Caenorhabditis elegans: one gene and its partner. The protein of the gene in region 2 purifies or fractionates together with the protein of the main gene of each other region. This does not show direct contact. Each region holds a gene or a part of one and is shown on either strand. Other genes may lie near its edges.

Evidence for each region.
Region 1: the proteins of usp-50 (region 2) and vps-4 fractionate together in Caenorhabditis elegans (co-fractionation; one large-scale study listed by BioGRID). This does not show direct contact.

What each region holds. Positions count from the first base shown.
Region 1 is NC_003279.8:1,065,185-1,069,104, forward strand, and holds the start of vps-4 (vesicle-fusing ATPase), read right to left. Parts: upstream 1,716-3,920; 5' UTR 1,686-1,715; coding exon 1,665-1,685; intron 1,585-1,664; coding exon 1,473-1,584; intron 1,378-1,472; coding exon 1,208-1,377; intron 1,142-1,207; coding exon 1,009-1,141; intron 114-1,008; exon of another isoform or gene 1-113. Other genes in the region: gsa-1 (Guanine nucleotide-binding protein G(s) subunit alpha), read left to right, coding at 3,803-3,904.
Region 2 is NC_003283.11:17,923,331-17,927,250, forward strand, and holds the start of usp-50 (ubiquitinyl hydrolase 1), read left to right. Parts: upstream 1-1,654; 5' UTR 1,655-1,682; coding exon 1,683-1,786; intron 1,787-2,049; coding exon 2,050-2,194; intron 2,195-2,636; coding exon 2,637-2,717; intron 2,718-3,241; coding exon 3,242-3,432; intron 3,433-3,790; coding exon 3,791-3,874; intron 3,875-3,920. Other genes in the region: E01B7.2 (uncharacterized protein), read left to right, coding at 654-785.

The DNA of each region.
Region 1 (3,920 bases), on a different chromosome or scaffold from region 2:
AACCGCAATGAGACTACCTGACACCACGTACTTCCCGATAGTCTTTTGTATAGTGTCATTTTTTCAATTTTTGAAATTTCCGCGAATGTTGTATTGCAAAATAAATCGTATATATATTTCAGATTTTTCAAAAAAAAAGTACGTTTTTCTGAAATTGAGGTCAAAATTTTCAATTTTTCTCACGGGGTTCTGGCCTTCCTCGTTGAATTTTTCGCGCTAAAATCGAGCCGCGACGCGACACGCAACGCGCCGTAAATCTACCCCAGATATGGCCGAGCCAAAATGGCCTAGTTCGGCAAAAACTCTTCCATTTCAGTTTATGAGGGAAGCCAGAGATCCATTTCCGCTTGATCTACGGCGATCTACGAAAAATGCGGGAGAGAAGCGACGCAGAGTTCTCAACTGATTTCGCATATTGCTGACACGTCATTTTCAGGACGAAAAATTCCCGCATTTTTTGTAGATCAAACCGTAATGGGACACGTGAAACTCCAAATTAAAGACGCATGCATTTTTTTCTTGGCGAGACCCATCGGGAGGTTTTTTTTCCGAATATGTAATAATTGTTTTTTTTTCAAAAATCCATTCTCCTTCAATTTTGTTATAAAAATAGACATTTCGGAGGTTTTCGCTAATTTTCCGGGGAAAATTCGCAGTTTTTTGGCGGAAAATCGGTTAACTGGGGGGGATTTTTGCAAATTTTCAGGTGAAATTTTGCAAAATTTTACTAAAACTGGAGATTTTTTGCGGGAACCAGTGAAATTTCCGAATTTTCTCCGAAAAACCGCCTAATTTATCGATTTTTAGGCAAGGAAATCGGCAAAAACCTGAAAAACTGCAATTTCTTCCGAATTTTATTTAAAAAATCGTTTTTTTTTTTTTGGGGAGAAAATTGAAAATTAACCCAAATTTTCACCAAAAATCCGCAAAAATCACTGAATTTATCGATTTTCCAGCGGAAAGCTGCATTTTTTAAATTATTTTTCGCCAAAATTCCACGATTCTCACCAGTGAAAAGCTGTGGAAATTTGATTGGAAGAATGACGGCCTCCTTGAGCGCCTCTTTCGCTCCCTCAAGTCCTGCAATATCGGTCCACTTGACATTCGGCTTCTCCATCACAATTGCGCCCGACAGTTTGTCCTGAAAATTGCGATTTTTGGGCTGATGGGCTGAATTCGGTGATAATTTCCATTAAAATTTGATTACCTGAAACTTTTTCTTGTCCTCATCCTCGTCGGAATCGTCTTTCCCGTCTTTCACCGGCTTTTTCTGCGTTTTTCCGTCTTTCAGATGGGTTTTGATCTGCTCGGCGCGATTCAAATACTGCCCGACTTTGTCACGAATCGCATTACGCTGTTTATCGCCTTGTGACTCGTCTGAAAATTTAAAAATAATTGAAAATTAACATATTTTTTATTTTTTTCAACGGAAAAAACGGAAAAAACCCGGAAAATTCCGCTCAAAAACCAACATTTTATCGCATGAAGGAAGTATTCAATGGCCTGATCGTATAATCTCAGCGCTTGGTCGTATCTGCCGGCTGTATCCTCCTCGGTGGCTTTTGTCACCAATTCTATGGCCTTCTGGAATTAAAAAAATTTTTAAAAAATTAAAAAATGTTTTATTTTTCAATTTTTTAAACAAAAAACTCTAAAAACTCTACCTGAAGTGCCGGAACCGACATTTTTTCCTGGCGATAAGTGAGCGGTGGACGCTGAAATACGAAAAGTCAGCAATTTTACGAAAATCGATGGAGCAACAAGATGGGAGTCAAAAAGTGAATTTTTCAGCCCTAAACTTTAGAAAATCGATATTTTAACAAAATTCTAGCTAATCAGCATCAAAAAATCAAGTTTATAAGCAGGTTTTCGCGATATTTCTCGCTTTTAATGATTGTGAAATCATTGAAAACTGAGTCACGCTTTTTAAGCGCAAAACGAGAAGCGCGCCAGCTGGTGGTTGCTGACGCGTTTCCCGACGCTGACGTGATTCGCGACGAATTTTGGAGGGAAGTTTGAATTTAGATTTTTTTCCTGCAAATTTACCGAATTCAGAGACGATTCCATAGTTTACAAAACAAAATAATTAGAAATCTACAACAATTCAGTTAAAATTCAATTAAAAACCTGAAAACCCGTGATCATATCGATATTCATTTATTATTTAAAAATATATATATATGTAAAGACTGTGAAAATTCAGATTTCGTTGCAAGAGATGCTTCAGCATTTATTTCTAGACCTGAAATAACTAAAGCTGGAGAATGAATAGCCCATGCGCCTTTAAATGAGGGATACGGTATTTGATCTTTTTTCGTTTTAAAAACATGCTCTACGCAATAAGCAGTAGTTTGCAAAATATGATTTTCTTCAAAAAAAAAATATATTTATTATCAAAATGGGAATATTTTTCACAAAATCAATTCGTTCAGTTGACGGCAGCAATTTCCTGGTCTTGACACGACAAATCAAATTTAGCGCCTTCAAAGAGTACTGTCATTTCAAATTTTTTTCCAGAATTCTCAGATTTTTCAAAAAACTAGAATAAAATAATATGAATCGTGAGCAAAAACACGGGATTCTGGTATTCGTCATTGCAATTTTTTGCGCCCCATTGACAATCACCTGCCGGACAACGCGTGGGAAAGTTGTGTACTCCACACGGACAAATAAATTTTGTTTCACAATGAAAATCGAGCCGAGCCGCGACGCGACACACAACGCGCCGTAAATCTACCCCAACCGTGGCCGAGACAAAATGGCCTAGTCTGGCAAACTCTTCCACTTAAAAATGCGAGGGAATCCAGAAGCGCATGGAAAAGTTCAAAACTACAGTACTTTTTAAAGGCGCACACTGTCGCTACCGCTCGCAGCTCCCCAACACTGCACTGAAACCCGAGTTTGAATTGGCGGGTGCAGTGGGGCCGCCGCCGCCGCCGTCGCCGCCGCGACGCACGAGAGTTGAGAGAAGCGCGACGCGTGTGCAGTCCCCCCCTCTCTTTCCCTCTCAACAGCCTGAGAAATCGAGGATGCCAGTGAGGCGAAAAGTGTGTATGTGTGCCCCGCTGGCGCGACAAGAGAAACAGACGATAAAGCCGACGAAAAGAGCACAAAGAAGCCGGAGGGCGGCAGGCCGGTGCCGGACAAGAGCTGTCGACGGGGCGGCCGGCCGTGTGTGTTGGTCCGGCGGTCGCGTTTGGTGCGACACGCAGTTTAGACGACACGACGCGAGGGAGCATTTCGATTGAGGAGACCGCCCGTTGGAAAGGAGCCTGGCAACTAGCACTCACAAAATACACACACACACACACTGTGAGAGAGAGAGAGAGTGAGTGAGTGAGTGTGTTTGTGTGTTTGTCCCTCTCTGCTGCTTTCGCCTCTCTCTCGTCGTTTGCATACTTGTCTGTGGCCGCTGTCCGATACACGAAGAAGACGAAGACGGCGACGACGACAACGGCAACGCGCCTCGAACACGATTCGACGTGCGTCTGATCCGATTGCGAACGTTCGATCCCCAACCACCCTCTCCCATCACATCGGCCAGTAACTTCCAAATTCCAAATTCTCTATTCTTTTTTCTTCTTCTTCTTCTTCTCCGTCTTCCCCCCACACACTTCTTTCTGTCTTTTCCATTTTGCCTACACACGCCGTGAGTTGCCCTGCTCACCACGTCGCCGTTGACTATTCCGCTAATTCGTTACCGTTCACCACCGCCTTTCAAACGTTTCACTACTACTGTACTTGCTGAAACCACTGCGCAACCACCACCGATCGGAAGAAGAGCCGTCGCCACCGCGTCAAGATGCGCCTTATGGGGTGCGTCGGCGCTGGCGCTGATGCCGAAGGCCGAGAAGCACGCAAGGTCAACAAGCAGATCGAGGAGCAGTTGGCTAAGGATAAGCAGGTATGTTTAGGAATTG
Region 2 (3,920 bases):
GAAAATTCGTGATTTTACAGAAAAATTGCATTTTTAACTCTAAAATTGAGATTTTCCGAAGATTTTTGAATTTTTAGTGAAAAAAAACCGAATCGTCGAAAAAAAATTTTCGTAAAAAATCACATTTTTAGCCTAAAATCGTCGTCGAAAAATACCAAGATTTTTTGAATTTTTCAATGAAAAATCCAATTTTTAACATGAAAACCATGAAAATTTGCGATTTTTAGCCCAAAATTGAGATTTTACGTTATTTTTTGGCCTAAAATGGTCCAATTTTAAGTTTTTTGGTGAAAATTTCGTATAAAAAAGCAATTTTTAACCTAAAAAATTCACGATTTCTCTTAAAATCGTCGAAAATTCCGAGTTTTTCGAATTTTTAGTGAAAAAAAGCGTAAAAATTGCTCAAAACCGGCAGTTTACGGCAACATTTTGAAAAATTTCAGGAAAAAAGGAGAAAACTCGCGAATTTTTGAGATTTTTCCGGAAAAATTATAGTTTTTAGCTAAAAATCGTGGAAAAAATCTCAATTTTTAATTTAAAAAAATGATTTTTTTTTCGAACTTTTTTCCCCGTTGAAATTGTAAAATTTAGGCCAAAAAAGGCCATTTTTGGCTTAAAAGTCTCAAATTTTGGCCTAAAATATCGATTTTCAGGCGGAAAAAAAGCGAAAACAGCTTCGAAATGGTCCAAATAATCGGAAAATCGTGATGGCTCGATATTCGAAACGACCGGAAACCGAGGAACGAACAATGATCATTGAAATGCCAAATTTTCAAGAAAAATGACAATTTTTTGGGTTTTTTTGTTAAATTTTTATGGAATTTTTTGAAGAATTAATAAATTTTGTTTTTTTTTTTTAATTTTTTCATCGAAAATGTGCATTTTTCTCTGAAAAATTGGAAATTTAATTTAATTTTCATAAAAATTCAAAAAATCGTAATTCGCGTCGAGACCAGTGTTGAGATTCGAGTGCTGCGCCTTTAAAGAGCACTGTAGTTTTTTTCTTTCGAATTTTGCTGATTTTTCTCAGATTTTATACATTTCTCGGCTATTTTTTTGCCGTTTCAAGGATTTTCCAATTAATTTCAAGTTTTTCAACAAAGATTTAACGTGATTTTCCCTAGATTTGCTTAAGTTTCAGAGATTTTAGCTTTTTCTCTTGATTTTCAGTTAAATCTTCATAAATATTACGTTTTTTCCAATTCTAACATGTTTTTAGCATTTAGTGTTGCTAAAACTTATTTAAATTTTTTGAAAACCTAATTCTCATACAAATTAAATGAAGATTTTCGTGTTAAACAAGTTTCGTGGTGAGACACATGGCACAACTTTGCTGTATGCGCCTTTAAATGGCTACTGTACCGGAATTAATATTTTTCACCGGAAAAATCGATATTTTCATTGCAAAAAACTGAATTTCCCCCGCGAAAAAGTCAATAAAGATTACACTTTTTACCATTTGGCTTCTCATACGGCTTCTGAAAAGTATAAAAACTCGTTTTTCGGCTTAAATTTCGCCGAATTCCGTGAAAACACCATATTTGACGCGCAAACTTTGCGACATTTATCGCCGCTTTTTTACCGGTTTTTTCGCCGAAATTTCGCAATTTTTCAGTCATTTTCTTCCAATTTCACACGAAAAATCGATTTTCAGCGGGTTTTCTGTCAATTTCAAATGAAAAATGAACTCATCCGGACTTCAATTCACAAGTATGACGGAGCTTCTTGCCACATGCTCACTTACAGAGCAGCAAACACGACAATTTGAGCAAAAATCGCTTGATGTGTATGTTTTTAGCGTGGAAATTCGGAAAAATCGATTAAAATCATCGAAAACTGGGAAAAATCGATTTTCCAGTGGAAAAATTGAAAATCTTTAGGTTTTTCACTTTAAAATCTTAAAATATAGTGCAAAACTCGAAATTTTACGTAGAAAACTCGAAAAAATTCCGAATTTTATGATAAATTCAGTAAAAAACTCGAAAAATTGAGAAAATCCCAGTTTTAACAGAAAAAAATCGAAAAAACCCCAAATTTCCAAATTTTCAGAGTATATCAATCTTTGAAAAATTTGCAAGGATCTGCTGAAAAAGCCCGTGGAGATTTGGAGCAACAATACCGATTATTGATGAAAGCCGGTGAACTCGGAAATATTATCACGAAAAGCTCGAAATTTGCGAGATGGAAGCAAAATGTTCGTGTGAAAATGGAAAAATGGCGAAAAAAACGTGTATTTCGGCTGGAAAATCGAAAAAAAAACGCAAAATTTCATCCAAAATTCAATTTTTTTTCCACTAAAAACAGTCAAAAAATCAGATTAATTGCATTTTTTCGATGAAAAACATGAAAAATATATGAAAAATGGCTGAAAATCAGTTTTTAAAGCTGAAAAGTTGAAAAATGGCTGAAAAAACGAGAATTTTGCGGAAAAAAATCGACCAAAACCAAAAAACCCATGAAAATGTGAAAATTTCGTTAAAAATTCAATTTTTTAGCCGAAATATCAGCGAAAACCCAGAAATTTCAAGATTTTGAAGCTTTTAGCCCAAAATTTCCAAAAAAAACTCCATTAAAAATCGAAATTTTAAAGAATTTTACCGAAAAATCTCAAAAATCTATAAAAATCCTATTTTCAGACAGCAAATGCGGCACTTTTCTATGCGGATTTCGAGAAAGTCGTTCGAGAAGCTTCAAATTTGCAATCTGTGCTGAATATTGTACGTTTTTTCATAAAAAATGGAAAAAAAAAATTAATAAAACTCGATTTTTTCAGGAAAAAACGCAAAAAAAAAATCGATTTTCTCCTGAAAATTCAAAAAAAAACTGTTTTTTCCAAAATAAAAATTCAATAAAAATCTATTTTCACTCTGAAAATCCAAAAAATCAAAAAAATCCTTTTTTTTTCAGAAAAAGCAAAAGAAAAATCGGTTTTACCGTAAAAATTCCGAAAAAATCAATAAAATCGATTTCTTTTTCAGGAAATATTCAAAAAATCGATTTCCCCTTGAAAATTTCAAAAAATTTTTTAAAAAAATCGATTTTTACCCCAAAAATCCCGAAAAAACCAATAAAAATAAATTTTTTAAAGAAAAAAACGCAAAAAATCGACAAAAAACGATTTTCTCCTCATTTCTTTAAAAATTAAATTTTTTTTTCGAAAAATCGTTAAAAATTGATGATTATCGATTTTTCATCGATTTTCATCCTAAACCCCCAGAAAAATCAATAATTTCTTTTTCAGAAATACGAAAATCTGGTCCGACGTGCTGACACACAAAAACGTGCCGAACAAGAGGCTGCGGATAAACGTGCGGCGACGATTACTGTAGATTCGACGATGCGGGCGGTTCGGGCAAAGATCACACCGCGGGAACTTGTACGAAAAGTGGAAAATGATACGCCAAAGAAAAGCGCACTGATTTTTGATATTCGGTACTATTTTTAAATTTTTTAAACATTTTTTTTTCGGTGAAAACCCCCATTTTTCCTTAAAAATTCGAAATTTTAGTGGAAATGCGCTCTATTGCTAATAGGAGGTACGAATTTCGGTATTCCCCCCACTTTGTAATTGTTTCTGAAAAAGCCATCGACTTTAAAGGGACATGATCTACCCCCATGTCCCTTTAAAGTAGGTGAGCCCCAGCACAAATACACTGTGGAAAATACCAGAAATTGTACCTACTATTCTCAATGGGGCGCATTTGCCACCGGGGATGCGGAAGCTATGCCCAAATTTTCAATTTTCTCAGAAACTTGTGAAACATCTGAAAATTTTCAACTTTTTTTTCAGCCAAAACCAATCGGACGCGATTTTCTACAACCGAAGCGAGATGATCACAGTGATTCAGGTGCCATACGACATGATAGACAGCTCGTAAGCATTTGGATAGTTTTTGGCGCCAAAACTGATCTCCACCATT